Arabidopsis thaliana: one gene and its partner. The protein of the gene in region 1 interacts with the protein of each later gene in a pairwise test. Each region holds a gene or a part of one and is shown on either strand. Other genes may lie near its edges. The genes, in order: AT5G56220 and AT2G42490.

The links.
Region 2: the proteins of AT5G56220 (region 1) and AT2G42490 interact in a two-hybrid assay, tested with the Arabidopsis thaliana proteins (one large-scale study listed by BioGRID).

What each region holds. Positions count from the first base shown.
Region 1 is NC_003076.8:22,751,740-22,760,085, reverse strand, and holds AT5G56220 (P-loop containing nucleoside triphosphate hydrolases superfamily protein), read right to left. Parts: upstream 6,114-8,346; 5' UTR 5,770-6,113; exon of another isoform or gene 5,596-5,769; 5' UTR 5,216-5,595; coding exon 2,294-5,215; 3' UTR 2,029-2,293; downstream 1-2,028. Other genes in the region: PRA1.G2 (prenylated RAB acceptor 1.G2), read left to right, coding at 758-1,318; WIP2 (WPP domain interacting protein 2), read left to right, coding at 7,723-8,346.
Region 2 is NC_003071.7:17,689,434-17,698,739, reverse strand, and holds AT2G42490 (Copper amine oxidase family protein), read left to right. Parts: upstream 1-2,716; 5' UTR 2,717-3,213; coding exon 3,214-3,418; intron 3,419-3,630; coding exon 3,631-3,740; intron 3,741-3,823; coding exon 3,824-4,129; intron 4,130-4,226; coding exon 4,227-4,339; intron 4,340-4,419; coding exon 4,420-4,750; intron 4,751-4,833; coding exon 4,834-5,049; intron 5,050-5,123; coding exon 5,124-5,360; intron 5,361-5,623; coding exon 5,624-5,809; intron 5,810-5,998; coding exon 5,999-6,139; intron 6,140-6,470; coding exon 6,471-6,739; intron 6,740-6,832; coding exon 6,833-6,914; intron 6,915-7,005; coding exon 7,006-7,140; 3' UTR 7,141-7,333; downstream 7,334-9,306. Other genes in the region: PP2A-3 (protein phosphatase 2A-3), read left to right, coding at 1-97, 197-286, 375-482, 576-641; AT2G42480 (MATH domain/coiled-coil protein), read left to right, coding at 8,889-8,989, 9,103-9,266.

The DNA of each region.
Region 1 (8,346 bases):
ATCACCGCAAAGTAAAGTTTCAACCTTGATGCAGTGTAAGAAGCAACCAAGAAGTGGGTTCTCTTCGAAAACCGATCATCGAACATGGGTGCATTGGTGTTTTTAAGGTAGATTCCAAATGTTCTACAACATTTTCTATGCTTCATCTCTTTCTGCAGAGACTGTGTAGTAGTTTACTGTTTACAAAAAAAAAAGCAAACACTTGAAAATAACACTCTGTAGAAGGATAAGTAACTTCAGACTTTTAATGCCAACTAAAGTTATAAACTTATAGTTTATCTTTAACTTTTGGCTATTGTCAATGTTTTATATGGTAAGAAAGTCCTTTTCTTCCATTAATTGCAGAAGACTCAATCCTATAAAGCAAGAGAGATGAGTAACTTTAGGCTTTTATCCCCACCAAAAGGTCAAAAGTTAGGGTAAAATCTTGAACCTTAGACCAATATGGTTTAACTCGATTAAAATATCCACAAACTAATTTAAAAATAGAATTGGTTAACTTAATCCAATTACAATTTGAAAGGTTTAGGGTTTATTGGTGTTTACATTTTAATTTGTTAGATCAATTAAACTTCTAAAGTAACATAATTTATTATGTGTTGAAATTTGATTGGTTGGTGAAAAGAATAATGTGGTGGTTGACTTAAAAAGTCGTTAGAAACACCTTTCTTTAATTAGCCAGCCCCAGCTATATGCACGGGGTTGTATTTCGGGTCGGGTCAAACCGGTCAACAAAATCGGAAAACTCGCCGGGAGAATGACTCCTTCTCCTCCTCCAATAACCTACATATCAATTCCGCTTCCTACCAACGACGTCGTCTCACGATCAATCCATAATCTCACTACCGCTATCTCTAGCCACCGTCCCTGGTCAGAACTCATCTTCTCCGGCGATTTCTCTCTCCCGGAGAGCTTTTCCTCTCTTCTCCTCCGATCAAAGACGAATTTCAACTACTTTTTCGTCAACTACACTATCATCGTCTCCACGTGTGCAGCGTTCGCTCTCATCACAGCTAGTCCCGTCGCTTTAATCGTCGTTGGCGCAATCATCGCCTTGTGGCTTATCTTTCACTTTTTCAGAGAAGATCCACTTATTCTCTGGAGCTTTCAAGTCGGTGATCGTACGGTGTTGTTGTTTCTAGTCTTAGCTTCCGTTTGGGCTATATGGTTCACTAACTCCGCCGTGAATTTAGCTGTTGGTGTTAGCGTTGGCTTGCTATTGTGCATTATTCACGCCGTCTTTAGAAACTCCGATGAGCTTTTCCTTGAGGAAGATGATGCTATTAACGGAGGCTTGATCGGGTCTAATCTCCGATGATATTTGGTTCTTACCCTAAATTTACTTTTCCTTGATTGCTTGTGACATAAGTTTAATTTTTTTTATCATCAATTATTTTAGTTCTTTTACTTATTTGTTTGATTTATTGTAATTTTTCGTGTTGATATTGTGTTGGATTGAACTCAAAAGAGAAGAATGAATAAGTTTTTGTTTGATTTGGTCTCACAGTGAAGGAATCAACTTGCTCTATCCATTCTTCTTCACATGTTACATCTGATTTCAGATACAATGTATCAAGTCTTGCTTCAAGCAAACATATCTCACAACAGCTTTGACAGTTTTGTCGTGAAGCTTGAGACCAACTTGTTGATCTTAAAGTCACAGCTTTTAGTGTTTGACTGTTAGTTATTAGATACTAAATCTGAAAGCTTCAAGAGATCATATATTCTCTTGATTGTCAATTCAATACCTTAATAATCTGCTTTTGCTTTGTTGGATTCTGACTAACTTTGTGTTTAACCAAAACCAGATAAAACCTAAGCTCAATTTGTATGACAAGTCAGAATTTTTAGTCCTTTGAAAAGGAAACAAAACTGAGCAGTGAACTCCGGGGACCAGTAACAGAAGAGGGGAGAGTGACACTTGTTGGCAAAACCCAGACACTGATTAAATTGCATGTTTACTTAAGCCCATACCTATTTTTCTGTGTTTGTCTTTGGTCCCAGCTTCTTACACGAGTATTTGTCCTTTTTCAATTCTGTTTGTTACTGAGATTGTGTTATCTCTTTTGTTTGATTGGTTAACTTATCGGTTAGAGCTTTTTGGCTTGAGAATTCAATGCGTTTACAAAGAGACAATGATCAATAAGGATGTTGGTAATGTACATAGGAATAAGATTTGTTCTAAAAAAGGTTAAAAATAGCCATTACATGATTTGATGTCTTCAACAAAACTGAGCTTAGAGTAGTAATGTGGAAATAATAACCAGGAGAAATGTTTTTGTGTGTGGTTTCATCATATCTTGCTTCTCATTCTGACTAACTTTGCTAGTGTTTCTTGAGCAGCCAAAGTGAGATCATGGTTATGGCCAAGCATCACTGTCCTGATACTGATACAAGTCCTGCAAAGTTCCTCTCCACTATCGAAATGTCCGCCTCGTAGCAGCAGCTTTGCTCTGGTCTCCAGCAATAAAGCTTTCAACAATGTAACATCCTGCCACACGTATTCATCGACTTTCTTGTTAGTCTTCTTCTTCCAACAGAGCGAGCCTTGGCGCCAATCTTGTATCTGAGACACAAATGATTTCTCCACTTCCTCTAACACGTTGGTGCATACTTTTAGGAGCTCCAGCGCGGAGTTGCACCTTGAGAAGGTTGTGAAAGCTGTGATTGCTAAAGGAAGAGCTGTTCTCTTGATGTAAAGTACCATATCCATGGCTTGTAGTTGAACCAAAGGAGGTTCTGATTTGAATCCGAATACTAAGAAAGCTGAAGCCCATAGGTGATCAAGATTCAACAACGGGTTATCGATTTTCCTCACGCCTTGAACTGTTGCCTTTGGTGCAAGGATGTAGTCTCGTCTCCTCGCGAAAGTTTGAGTTATCGGATGGAACTGAATCCAACATCCAGGTTGTCTATTTGTTAACCTCGCTAGTCCTAATCTGACTAGTAAAAAAGCAGCATCCTCTTCGCTTCTGCGTCCTAAACCACAACCACCACACCAAGCAAATGTGTGACTCAGACACTTGTTCCATTTGCTGAACCGGTTTCCACCTGTGGGCATGTTCTTAGCAGCTGCAGCTAATAAGTTAACCGGTATAGGGACAGGAGCAAACCAAGCTCCCACGAGTAGCATTTTCAATGAGAGAAGGTTTCTGTTTCCCTCAGCTTGCTCCAAAACAGCCAAACTGAAAGCTAAAACCTTTGCAACAAATGGATTGGACTTGCAGTATTGCTCATCATTTAAGTTCAGAAAAGGCGAGGCCGAACGTTCTTCGATTTGAACTTTGTTTACAGCTTCAAAGAGAGCAGAAGGCAGAATTGCAAGCTCTGAAAGCAATGATCCAACCACCCAAAGACCATAGCTCAACCTTCCCAATTTCTCATCGAAAAGCTTGAGGACCTCCACCTCCTCCACCGGGTAATCTTTCTTTCTTCTTCCTCTCAGTAACACCATTGCATCAGACGAAGGCAATATAGAAAGCTGCACAGTGTCAAAGGTCATGACTTTAGGAAGTCTAGTAGTGATCAAAACATGTGTTCCTCCGGTGTTCCTCGGAATCAAATCATTTAGATCTTTCCCTTCCCACCAATCCTTCTCTATCTCAAGATTATCAATGATCAACAGATAAGGCATGTCTCTGAATAACTCACGCTTTATTCTCTTGAAAGCTTCAAACTCTTGTTCATCAAAGCTCCTTAGTCTACCTCTATCCTTCTCAGCATCTGCACTAACATCAAGCCCCAAGCTGAATGACAGATTTAACAGGTTCTGTCTAAAGTATCGAGCTTCCCCTCCGACCCACAAAACCATCTTATACCTCTGAGAATACCTGTAAGCGAATTCAAGAGCTAACTCTGTCTTCCCAATCCCTGGAACTCCATTTACACAAACAACACTTGTGCTACTTTTGCAGTTACTATTGTTTCTACACTTCTTAGTCTTCAACAATCTTTTAAGAGAGTTTTTCCCACCATTTGGATCACTCCAAGCCTCACTTCTTGAATCTGAGCATCTTCCAAGCTCCAAGCTAATAAACTTCCCATTTCGAGTTGGTACAACATCTGATTCCTCATCTGCAAGTCCTTCAGATTGTCCACTTGCTTCTCCTCTGGTACTTGGTGTTGTAGACTCAAGATACTCTCCATTACCAAATAAAGCCATCTCCATTTCAATGATCTCCTTTTCTCTTCCAAGAAAAGATCTGTTCCTCGGAAATGGAAGCTCATCAATCCCTTCCACAATCTCTTTATCAGCCACACTCTTCCTCCCAAGCTTTGCCCTGAGAATCGTCGCAGTCTTTCCCACACAGCTTCTCCAGTTACTCTCATTAGCTTCTAGTTTAAACTCATGAGACTTAATCAACCCATCAATGGCTTCTTTACACTCTTTATCTATGGCATTGCAGTTGAGAAGACCCATAATCTCAGAAGGACCAGTTCCATAGAAAATAGGAATCAAGTTCTTCTTTTGAGCAAAGAACCTAACTTCCTCCAAGCTAAGGTAGTTGAGCAAGCTGGAACAAGAGACAACCACAATCCCATAAGTAACAGAACAGATAACTCTGTCGGCGATCTCATGACTCTGTGTGTCCGAATACTTAGCTCTGTCAGCAACGAAACAAGCGATTCCCTGAAGCTCAAGCTCTGACTTTAACCATTTGCAGAATCTCACCAAGTTTGGGTTTTGTCCATGAAACCCTATGAAGACATCAGAGCTCCTGAGCTTGGTGTTAGTTGCAGGTGAAGAAACAGAGACTTTAGCCAAAGAAACCCTAGGAACAGGGAAAGAGAAAGAGATCCTTGGAGGAGCAGGATCTGGAGTACAAGATGCTGATAACTTGAGCTTCCGATCTGATGGTTGTTCATCAGAAAACTCGTACTGGTCAGAAGGAGGAGTGTAGGAGCTGCTTGGTACATCATCAGATTGTGAGCCTTTGTAAGAAAGAGGCGGTGATGGCTTGTGAGTGGTAATGGAGGGTGTTGTAGCTCTTGGGGATATATAAGGAGATTGCAAAGCGGAAACAAAAGCAGAAGATGGTGGGGACACAAGAGAAGGTGAATAGAAAGGAGAGTTTTTGATACTTGGAGATGAATCTGAAGCATTATTATTTGCTTGAAGAAGATCTTCTTTACCTTTCTTACTTGAAGAGCTTGCTGGTGATGAAGTTCTTATGGTTAAACCAACTAAACTTGCTTCTTCTTCTATTCCCTTCATTACTCCTTTTACTTCTTTCACCAAACACAAATTAAACTCAAATGAAAGCTCTCACCTCTCAGCTTCAAAAGGTTATGTCTTTATCTCTCTAACTTGGTAATGAATCTCATAATGGTGTTTCTCTGACAGATGATATTGAAGTGAGTGGGACTGAGAGGAGATGAGTCAGAACATGAATGCAACAGTTGATGCAGTTCAATGAGATTGAGGTAAAATCTGAGAAACTGCATGTGATGTATCTAACTCTTCCATTTTGTGGGGTCCCTCTTCTACAACACTGTTGAAACCCAATTTGTGTTTTCTTCTTTTCTTTATTTAATTTCTCCTCCTCCTCTTACTTCAGATTTGACCAACAACACCAAGCCAGTTTCAGAGAGTCTCTGCAACAATGGAGAGGTCACGGGTCAGAAGAAAAATCATTGCTTTACATTGAGTTTGTGGTCTAATGTTCATCATCATTAACAAGATTGAATCTTTTTACTCTCTAGCTAGGACCAACAATGAAAAAGCAACATATTAGTCAAATCTTTAAAGATGATTTCTTAAAGACTTACCCTTTTGTTTGATCTTTTTCAGACACAAGGCAAAAAAAGACGTGTCACTTCCCCTGCATATCTTTTCATTACCAAGCCTGTCTCTCTCGTCTATCTTTCTCTCTGTGTTTCTTTTTGAGGAAGAGCAGAAGATTGTGATAATGAAGAGGGAGAAGAATCTGGAGTTGTGAGTTGGATCTGAAAGTGCTTATGGACATTAATTTGTTTTTAAAATAGTGATTAAAGAAATGGTTAAGAGAGAAGCAGCCTGGAGATGGTTAATGTCTAAACATGTACCAATGTCATTTTATAATGATCACCCACTTAATCAAAAACCATTTTATAATTAACTTAAATTTATAATCTTGGATTCTCCTTTATGTCATTTGTTTTTAGCTCTCCTCTCTCTCTTCTCTCAACCTCCTCTGCATTTTCTGGAAATTTTTAATGAGTTTTTTTTTCTTCTTTAGTTTACCAAGAAGACTCCAGTTTTTATTTAAGATCGAGTTATTAGAGAAGTATAAATATAACATGGGTTACATTGGATTTAAGAGAGTTAAATAGACAAGAGTCAGATTTAAGACATTGAACTTTGAGCTTAAAAGAGGTTGTAGGATTGAAGAAAGGGAACCATTTTCAATTTTCTTAGTACTTTGGTTGTTTGTCATTTACTGTTTGTATTTTGTGGTCTATAGAAAACTCCAAACATTGTACTATATTGAGTATTGAATCATATAATACTATCATTGCTGCAATTAATAGGAGAAAAATGTCAAGAGAATATTTTACGTAAAACATATTTTGGGTTCTAAGTAAGTGAAATTCCTTCCACTATGTGATTATGAACTAAATTTCTAACAATAGTACTAACATAACATAAGTAGTAACCTAGTAGTATTTGACAATTTTTCTTATCAATAACATTTTAGTATATTGTAATTTGTAAGATAAACTCCTCATAATCGAGTAATTATCTTTTTTTTTTAATTCAAGGTGGTGCATGTATGTATGTGTACACTGACACAACATTTGAAATCTGATTTCACAGTGGGAATTGGTCCAAGACCAGTCCACTTGTGACTTTTTATTTATTTACCCCACACATTTTCACATTTATCTACAATCATAAGGGACTTTAAAAACATACACATTACACACACACACACACAAAAACAAAAAATTTACCATCAAAATCTTGGAGTGTGTGACGTATGAACAAAACAAGATTGATACTGTATGTAGAAAAGTCTCGTTATCAAACGATGTGGAAGCGTTTATCAAACGCTCAAGGATAAGTCTCGTTGTTTCCATACCTAAAAACGGCAACCACTGTATATAGAAAAGATGTAAACGTCAAAACTGAAGAAGTTAGAAAGACGAGGGTAAATTAGTAAAATAGTCGAGATCATATTAAAGTCCTAACGGTATATCACACACCGTTGAATTCCAGATCCGACCAGATAAGATCACGTCGAATCGAACGGTCATAAAATATCCGAGTAGTTGCTGAAGTATCCAGCGGTTTCGCCACGTGTCCCGACCATGTCGCTCACACGTTCGTATTTCTCTATTACAAAAAAAAGGAAACGAATCAAAATGTTTTTTGATCGTAACCGGGAAAAAAAAAACGATTTTTCGCAACGAAACTTTCCACAATCAACGGATATAGAGAGAGATCTCTGCGAATCGTTTAAATCGTCTTCTAATTTCGTTTCGGTCTCTTCGTAAAGGATTCACCTTTGAGTGGTTTTGCGTTCCATTTTATTAGGTACGTCAAGCTCGAAACTTTCGATTCATTGGCTTTCGTAAATGTGATTAATCTGGGAATTGAGTTGAATTTAGAGAACCCTATTGCTTCATTTTTGTTTTCGTATTTTGGTTTTATTGAATTTGCCTCTGGTTCTTACTGGAATGGTGGTTGTTTAGTCTTGAGATTGATCCCATGTGAAAAGTTAGTATTTTTGTGGCGTCGTCATGGATTTGGAGAGTGAAAGCTCTGTTCTTGAATCTGTTGAAGATAATAATGGTTTGATTGGTGATCTTGATAAAGAGTTGAATTCACCGGTTGAGACTTCTCCTCTTATATCAAAAGGATTTGGTTTAAGAAAATGGAAGAGGAGGTTAAGGAGAGATCTTGTTAAGGATGATACTTCTGTGAGTATGGAGAATAGTAAAGCTCTGAAGAGGGTGTTGTCAGGATTAGTTGATCCGAATGCTAAACAAATGCATTTGCCAGGACCTGAAGTTAGACAAGATAGTGTTGGTTCTGTTGGCTCGGTGAATAGTGTGGTTGGTTTTGTAATGGGTGGGGAGAGTTATGGCAATGGTCTTGCTTTTGCAGCTGGTGTTGATTCGGATAACAGTGAGGATCGGAGTAGTACAATGAGTCATTCTTGGGACAAACATAGAGGAAAGGTCTCGGGTGGGAAGAGTGTGATTAGTTCGGGGGATAGTAGTCAACAAAGGAAGAGTAGTGTAGAGAAGAGTAATAAACTTAGAGGAGAAAGGATCAAAATTGAGAAGGAAAACTCTCATTCCAGCATGGAATCTGCTGACTCAAGAAGCTCCAACTTTGTGTTTATGCAGGGTGCTTCCTAT
Region 2 (9,306 bases), on another chromosome or scaffold:
CCATGAAGGGCCGATGTGTGACTTATTATGGTCTGACCCCGATGACCGATGTGGTTGGGGCATCTCTCCTCGGGGTGCCGGATATACATTTGGTCAGGTAATTACAAGTCTTACGTCTCAGAAACAGTCCTGATTCTCTCTGTTTTTAAAGCAAGTGTCGAATTGACTTTTCTCTTTTTTCATTTTGTTTCCATAGGATATATCTGAACAATTCAATCACACAAACAACTTAAAGCTGATCGCCCGAGCTCACCAGTTGGTTATGGATGGATACAACTGGGCTCACGTAATAATGAAACTATAAACCTTTCTTTGCATAGCTTTGCAAGGCTTAAGATTCTGAGCTCATTTTTACTGTCTTCCCTATCAAACAGGAGCAAAAAGTGGTTACTATTTTCAGTGCACCAAACTATTGTTACCGTTGTGGGAACATGGCCTCGATTCTTGAGGTCGACGACTGCAGGAACCACACCTTCATCCAGGTCTTTCCCCAAATCCCACATGTCTTGTCTGCTAATGAAACTAGTGTAGAAGAATGACCAAAGCTAACTTGAGTATATAAAATGTGAGTGCAGTTTGAACCAGCACCGAGGAGAGGAGAACCAGACGTCACCCGAAGGACTCCAGACTATTTCCTGTGATCACTGGACACAGACTCATCTCAATCAGCAGCTGCAGGCACCCACAAGTGAAAAGTCACAGTTGGCTAACTCTAGATTCTGGTCCTATGCATTGTGTTCAGGTTGCTCTGTTTAAAATTCAACTTAGTGCCCACCACCGGAATATAGTGTGTATTATAGGCGAAGAAGGCTTCTTATCTTCCTCTATAACCAAGAAAAGAAAAAAGATACCCATTATGAACATTGTTTTGTTGATGTTATTAGCTTCTTCTTCTTCTCCCTTCTGCATCAGAATGTGGTTTCATGTGAGAAATCTTCTAATTTTATTTCACGTTATTCGTTCTTGAACATCTCTGATTTTTGAATAGAACCTTGAAATTGTTATGTTTATTTGTTCTTCAAAGCTTGATATAATAACAATAGTCGCTGAACGCATCAGATCAGCCACTCAAAATGTTCGACTGTGAACCTTCTCTTGACTTGCAATCTAACGGCATTGAAGGCTTTGTTGTACTCATGGCTATTGCATTGAGAATGAGATAAATAAAGAACAACATTGAGACTCAGTGCAGACTGGAAGGAGCAAATTGATAGACCTCTAAATGAAGAGCTCAATGAGAAAGCTCCTGAGTTGGTGCTGAGCTGGATAGACAAGTGTTTTAATGTATAGAGTCGTAATCCAGTCTAAATACAAAGTAGCTGTGGGAAGTAGAAGGTTAAAGGTTGTTGTAAAGGGAACACATTCTACTTTCTCGGGACTTTTCTTTGGTCAATCAAGAATTGGTGCTTGTTTCTATCAGTAACTGAACAAAACCAGAGAGTATGAGTTTGATCTTTACCAAACGCAACAAGGCATACAAAGGCAAATCCATAGTAATGACAAAAGATATCTAAGAAATAATAAGATAAGTAATACATTTGCTTAACAACAAAGAACAATATAGTTCTTAGCCAAAAAACATAAAAAAACAATGAACAATATAGTTGAGAACAATGTGATAGACCAAAATCTTATGTATTCATTCATCAAAAGAGAACAGTTTATATTGGAATTCTAAACGTTTTGCCTACTATTGAAGGTTTCACAAGAAACAAAACAAACCAAAGACTAGAAAACAAAGTGTAATTCAATAGTCTACGTTAACATGACGTGTTTTCGCACCGAAGACAATAATATATAAACTGTGATGACAGAATATGGAGTCATGGACTATGTAAGGCTAAACTAGATTATGGAGTCATGGACGAATGAAGAGTTTTTAATTTCGTGAATTTCATAAATAATGTGAGCCTCGTAATACCACTAGTTGTAGACAGCGGTTCTTTGGTGGTCGATATTGCATGGATTATGCGGTCCACTCCACGATCTAATTATTACAACTATATACATATATTTATATATCATGCACTATATTTGTATTTTACAATCTTAAAACCATAACATATCAAAACACTTTGATTAGTAACTTTTGTAATTTTATAAGCTTCTTGTGATTTTTATGTGATAAAACATAAACGACACCAATTCGTTTTTTTTTGTTTTCATACATATTTTCTATAATATCTGTCAGGATCTAATAATTAATATACTGCTCTAAAAGTATATATCATATCAATTGTCTCCAAGTTTTGGTGAAACACCTCAAACTCAAGTTAATAAGACTATTTTGGTTGTATTCATGTTTTTTTTTTGGCTATGTTCCATTCTGCTTACTTCTTAAAACAATGTAGTGTCCAATAACAGCATAAACCTGATAAGAATAATAATTATGCGTGTAGAATTTTGGTGAAACACGTCAAACTTATTTAACAAAACATATATGTTTCATTTTTTTTTGGTTAATTTTTTCCCAATTTTTTTATTTTGAAATAAATTTTCGGATAGTGACATATAACCTTATGTAGTCTGTCAATTGTCATATTTTTCTATTTCCATCATCCTATATACTTTACCTTTGTTAAAACTCCTTAGATAAGAACTTCCAATATTTTCCTTACCTATATTTTAATTTCCAGTTTTATATATTTAGTACTTAAAAAATTCAAATGGAAAATATGTTTGACTCTAATTAGACACATATAATATATATTTCCAAATAGTAAATTACAAATTGAGAAACTCATGAACAATAGTGCATCCACGTCGTTATCCAAGTTGGATTTCTTTCTAAAACAAATAATTAGACCTTTAAAAAAAAATATAAATAGGTACTTGTTAAAAAGTAGGAGAGCCCACAAATAAGGCTTTGGCCGCTTCTGCTTGGACTCTCCAACAAAAATCAAACTCTTTAAAAAAACAAACAAATTGAAGAGCGATTATACGATCACGGAGAACTCAAGATCCGGTGACGAATCCAACTTCTTGTGACGGAGCTCAAGTCGAGAGAGAGAAGACTGTACTAGTAGTAGTAGCTGTGGATTTTTGTGTCATCATCGGAGATCGGAATCTTCTTCTTCTTCTTCTTCTTGGAGCTTCTAGAAGTGGAGAGAAGGGGGAAGATCAAGCGACGGATAGTGATAGGTTTTGCTGTATGTCAGTGGATTGTGTTGAAACTGATTTTGGTGGATTTGGAGAACTTGTGAACCCTATTCAATGGCCTCAGCTTCGAAAAAGACGTCGGCATGTCCTCACCACGGTGGCTCTCTTCCGCCTCCCAAACTCGTCTCCGCTGCTCCCGATACCGTTGCTGTATGGTCCGACGCTGACGATCAGCGAGCCTCTAAAGTTTCTTTGGAATCCGTTATCCGCCCTGTCGATTCGTTTCCTGATAATACTGCCAAGAAACCTGCCAACAAAGGTTTGATTTGATCGTTGATCGTCCTTCATTCTTCTGATGTTAGCTCGCGATTCGTTTGAATTACTTGACTTCTTGTTTACTGGAATTTGTTGATGATGGTTACTTTTTGTGAAATTGGTTCTTGTCTACTTGATGGCTTCTGATTGAGATCTAATTGTGATCACTATTGTGGTTTCTGTGAAGTTGATTTTCTGTTGTGATCACCAATGCAGGGATTTCTGTGATGCCAAGGACTGAAACCAAGCACCCATTGGATCCTCTTTCTGCTGCAGAAATATCAGTTGCTGTGGCGACTGTTCGCGCAGCTGGTGCCAATCCTGAGGTGCGCAAACTTACTTGATTCTTGACAAATGCAGAATGCTTGATAACATTGTCACTGAAACTGTTTTACTTTTTCTTTGGCAGGTTAGGGATGGCATGCGTTTCATTGAGGTGGCATCAGTGGAACCAGATAAACAAGTTGTGGCGCTCGCTGATGCTTACTTTTTCCCACCGTTCCAGCCATCACTACTTCCAAGAACTAAATCTGGACCTGTGATTCCGATGAAGCTCCCTCCAAGGCGAGCTAGACTTGTTGTTTACAACCAAAAGTCTAATGAGACAAGTGTATGGATTGTGGCATTGTCTGAAGTTCATGCTGTCACTCGGGGTGGACATCACAGGGGAAGAGTTGTTTCCTCACAAGTTATACCTGATGTTCAGCCACCCATGGTATGTTAAACTATGTTTTAAGGAATTGGATCTCTAAGTGACTTTTAGATGCTACCGTTGTTTGCCAGTCTCTAAGTTTAGATTCTTTTGATTTTAGGATGCGGCTGAATATGCTGAATGTGAAGCGATTGTCAAAGACTTCCCACCATTCATAGAGGCAATGAAGAGGAGAGGTATTGAAGACATGGATCTAGTGATGGTTGATCCCTGGTATGTTAACAACATCATCGTTTCTGTTGACAATTAAGGTGTACTTCTTCTCTGAGCCTACCTCTTAATGTATTGTGCAGGTGTGTGGGTTATCACAGTGAGGCTGACGCTCCTAGTCGTAGGCTTGCAAAGCCCCTTATATACTGTCGGACTGATAGTGATTCCCCTATGGAAAATGGATATGCTCGTCCAGTTGAGGGCATTTATGTACTTGTAGACATGCAAAACATGGTGGTGATTGAATTTGAAGACCGTAAGTTTGTGCCACTCCCCCCACCTGACCCTTTGAGGAATTATACCCCAGGTGAAAGTAGAGGGGGTGTTGATAGAAGTGATGTTAAGCCTCTCCAGATTATTCAGCCTGAAGGTCCAAGTTTTCGTGTAAGGGGTTACTTTGTCGAGTGGCAGAAGGTAGATTTCCAGTAATAGCCTACTTGAAACCAAGTGATTATGCTTAAGCTTATTTCTAAATTGGCTCAACATTTTGTTTACAGTGGAACTTTCGTATTGGATTCACTCCAAGGGAAGGTTTAGTCATACATTCGGTAGCATATGTTGATGGCAGTCGAGGTCGAAGGCCTGTTGCACACAGGCTAAGTTTTGTGGAAATGGTTGTGCCTTATGGCGATCCTAATGAGCCACATTACAGGAAAAATGCTTTTGATGCAGGGGAGGATGGTCTCGGGAAAAACGCACATTCGCTTAAGAAGGTTTGACATCAGTTTTTTTTTTGGTGTTCTTACCACTCAGATCTCAGTTTGTGTTTAACAATCGGTTTTTATAGGGGTGTGACTGTCTGGGATCTATCAAGTACTTCGATGCCCATTTCACAAATTTCACTGGAGGAGTTGAAACAATTGAGAACTGTGTTTGCTTGCATGAAGAAGATCATGGGATTTTGTGGAAACATCAGGACTGGAGAACAGGATTAGCCGAAGTGCGAAGATCTAGGAGACTAACTGTCTCTTTTCTATGTACTGTTGCCAACTACGAGTATGGGTTTTACTGGCACTTCTACCAGGTTAGTGGAATACGTGATTCTTCATTTCTTGAGTAAAGCAGATATTAGTCATATTTGCATCTAATTTCTATAGGGAAGACAAATGATGTGTCTCCGCATGAGAATAAATCCTGAGTTTAGTGGCACTTTGCTTGTGATTTTTCACTTGAGGACATTGATTTACAGTGCTGAATCCGAGTTTCATTTGTTTTCTGATTTGTAGTTTCATCTTTCTAGATATTTGAAGACCAATATCATTTTATGTCTTGAATGTCTTACTGTAGGATGGGAAAATCGAAGCTGAAGTAAAACTTACTGGTATCCTCAGTTTAGGAGCTCTGCAGCCAGGTGAAACTCGAAAGTACGGTACTACTATTGCTCCTGGGTTGTATGCACCAGTCCATCAACATTTCTTTATCGCTCGCATGGATATGTCTGTTGACTGTAAACCTGCTGAAGCTTTTAATCAGGTACCTTTTTATGATGCTGCTCTTCTTCTTGTTATTTACTTACATATGCGGATTATTTTCTCAGTATTTAGGAATGGCATTGGTAGCATATGAATTTTAGAAGTCCCTATAGTTCTTGAAAAAAAATCTTAGATACATGTTGTCAGCTGGTTTTGCTCAATAGTCAGCTTAATCCACTTTTATCTGTAGGTAGTTGAGGTAAATGTTAGAGTTGACGAGCGAGGTGAGAACAATGTCCACAACAATGCGTTTTATGCGGAAGAGAAGTTACTTAAATCTGAGGCAGTGGCGATGCGTGACTGTGACCCTCTTTCTGCTCGCCATTGGATTGTAAGCAAAAACCGTACCTTGCATGTTCTCGTCCATTTATTGCATGTTTAACTTTCACATTGTCAGTGCTCGTACCCGTCTCTGTAATATCCTTGTTTATATTTCTTTCATCCTTGACTATCTACTAGTCTCATCCTTGAGACTGGATTTGGGATAAGAGATCACCTGAGCATCCCTAAGTTTCAGTCATGTGTTTATATAGTCTCATACTTGAGTTCCTTTACCAAAAAATCATCTCAGAGTTTCATTGAATATGATTTGTAGCTGAAGTATAGATGGTATACTCACGCAAGATGTATATTCAACACAAATCATTGTAATGTGTTATCAGGTAAGGAACACAAGGACTGTAAACAGGACGGGCCAATTAACGGGATACAAACTTGTTCCGGGTTCAAATTGTTTGCCATTAGCTCGACCCGAGGCGAAGTTTCTAAGAAGAGCCGCTTTCCTGAAGCATAATCTCTGGGTTACCCGTTACGCCCCAGACGAGAAGTTTCCTGGAGGAGAATTCCCAAACCAAAACCCACGGGCTGGTGAAGGTCTTGCCACATGGGTGAAACAGAATCGCTCCTTGGAAGAATCTGACGTCGTTCTTTGGTCTGTATCCTTGTTTTACTTATCTGATTCAGTTAAAAACTACTACTTACCAAATTATGTGACTTTCAATGTGGAATTTTCATTTGTCACCAGGTACGTGTTTGGGATCACACATGTTCCTAGACTTGAAGATTGGCCGGTTATGCCCGTCGAACATATTGGTTTCACACTAATGGTAAGTTAAATCTTTGACTGTAACTTTCAATGGAAAAAAAACCTTACAAAGGATTGGTTAAAAAATGTTTTGGGTTTTGGGTAAAATACAGCCACATGGATTTTTCAACTGCTCACCGGCAGTAGATGTGCCACCGAATCCATGCGAATTGGAGACTAAGGAGAGTGAAGTCAAAGAGGTTGTAGCACCGAAAGCTCTTCAGACTGGTTTACTTTCAAAGCTTTGAAGAATATGAATATCATTTGTTTTCTTTCTTTGATCTCTTAAAAAATTGGAGGCGTTGCTGTTGGTTAAGAACAATTTCATATTTGAATCTTTTATTTTCGTGTTTGGTGTGTGTGTTTGCAAGACTAAAAAGACCTTTGTCATTGGAATATTTCTATTAAAATTTCATATTTGAATCTTTTATTTTCGTGTTTGGTGTGTGTGTTCTTCTATGAATTGCATTAGTTTCATACTTTGGAAAAGAGAAGCAAATAAATATAAACATTGGAAGAGAGGAGCAACATCTCTACTATTTTCATTTTATAAGCCAATCAGAGCGCTCCATGTCATACCCCATTCTCACCTTTTACGTGATTTCACACCCACTCTCACTAATCGCGTGTTGAGGGCGTGTCTACGTTTTCTGAGGGTTCTAACCCACCAAATGGCTTGTTTTGAAACACACTCGCTCTTTTTTAAAAAAGCCTCGAGTGCGTGATTTCAGTGTTTTTCTCCTTTAATTCCAATTCAAACCCAACCGAAATCAATTGAATTTTTCAAAACCATGTAAATCGAACCGAAATTAAAAACACAAACGACAAACTAGCAATTGTCACTTCCACAATTGATCCAACTCCGACGAACCAGATTGATAATTTTGATTCGATTCCACACAGATAACATATAGTCCAAACCAAATGCAATTCATATAGCCTAAAAATCTTAGCTAAAACCCAAAGAAAAACACTGGAGTTACCTGTTGCATAAGTAGCACTGCTCTTGCCCACATATATGTAGCAGAGACGAGATGGCTCCAAGTCCCATGGAGTCGCTCTTGCCACAAATCAATTCACAAATTAAGAAATTGAGCTCAGAAAATTTCAGAAGAATTCTCGATCATAACATTATGCGGTGGTGGTGGCTGTGAATAGCCGACAGAAGTTGCTACGGTGGGTCTCATAAGAAATTGATTCGGCATCGCCGCCGGTTTCACGGTCCACATAGTAACTCCGATTTGCTTGTGCGGATTTTATTAGCCCTTCTCTCTCCCTTTTTCGTGGTGATGGTGAATCCAGTCTCACATATGACATATCTACCGAAAAGAGAAAACAAGTGAAAAATGAAAAGAAGTCATTTGCCCACTTTGAAAACAATTATTGAAGTTTAAAGAATGGGCTATGGCCCAACAGAAAAAATAGAGGAAAAATTGGGAGGAATGAATCATTAAACGTGGGTTTAGGTGGGTCAAGACACAAACAACTAACCAATTAAGCCAACCAAACCATAATAGTTCATGTTCAAATGATTCATTGCTCCCATTTTTATGCGGGGTCAGCTGACCCACCTTTCTTCCACGGGTCTGCCCCCGCCACAACCAACAGACTTCTGAGAAGATTCTCCTTAATTAATTGAAAATGTAAAATTTATTTTAGTAGAAAAAGTATAATATTGTAGAATTTTTTTATTTTTTTTCATTAGTAGATAAAGTAAAATTTGTTTTTTACTTAGATATTAACGAAGAGAGGAATGATTATCTATTTCTTTATTTGGAGGAATGATTATTTTTAGTCTAATTAAGTATTGGTTTATCAATTATTTTATTTATTGATTTATTTGTCAGTTTTGTTTTTGAGCTAGGGTTTTGAGAAGGTTTTTCTTGTTCTATAAAAAGAGGACTTTTATGCGTGAAACTAACAAATAAATTTTCTCAGAAACTCATTCGTCTTTGCTCAAACTAACAAAAATCTACGAAAGCGTTTTTGGTCAGCTATGTGGAATCAAAAGCCGTGTTTTAGGTTTGAGATAGATAACTTCTCGGAGAAGAAAGATGTGATAGCGTCTAAGGCATTCGTGAGTGGAGGATGCGAATGGTAAATCGAGAAGAATTGGATATTTCATTAGCTTTGTTATTCAATTCTCTATTTATATTCAAGAATAACGTTTTATTGAAAAACTGATATTTCTTTGTTTTATATTCTTTCAGGTTCCTTTACCTCTATCCGAAGGGACAGAGTCTTAATGATGATCACATGTCTTTGTATCTGTCCGTTGCAAATAGTAAATCCTTGGGAAGTGGATGGAAACGGAGTGCTAAATTTTACTTCTCTGTGCTGAATGAATCTGACAAAGAACTCTACAGATCAACTAGTAATGAAGTTTATATATCTTGCATGTTTTTTTCTTTCTT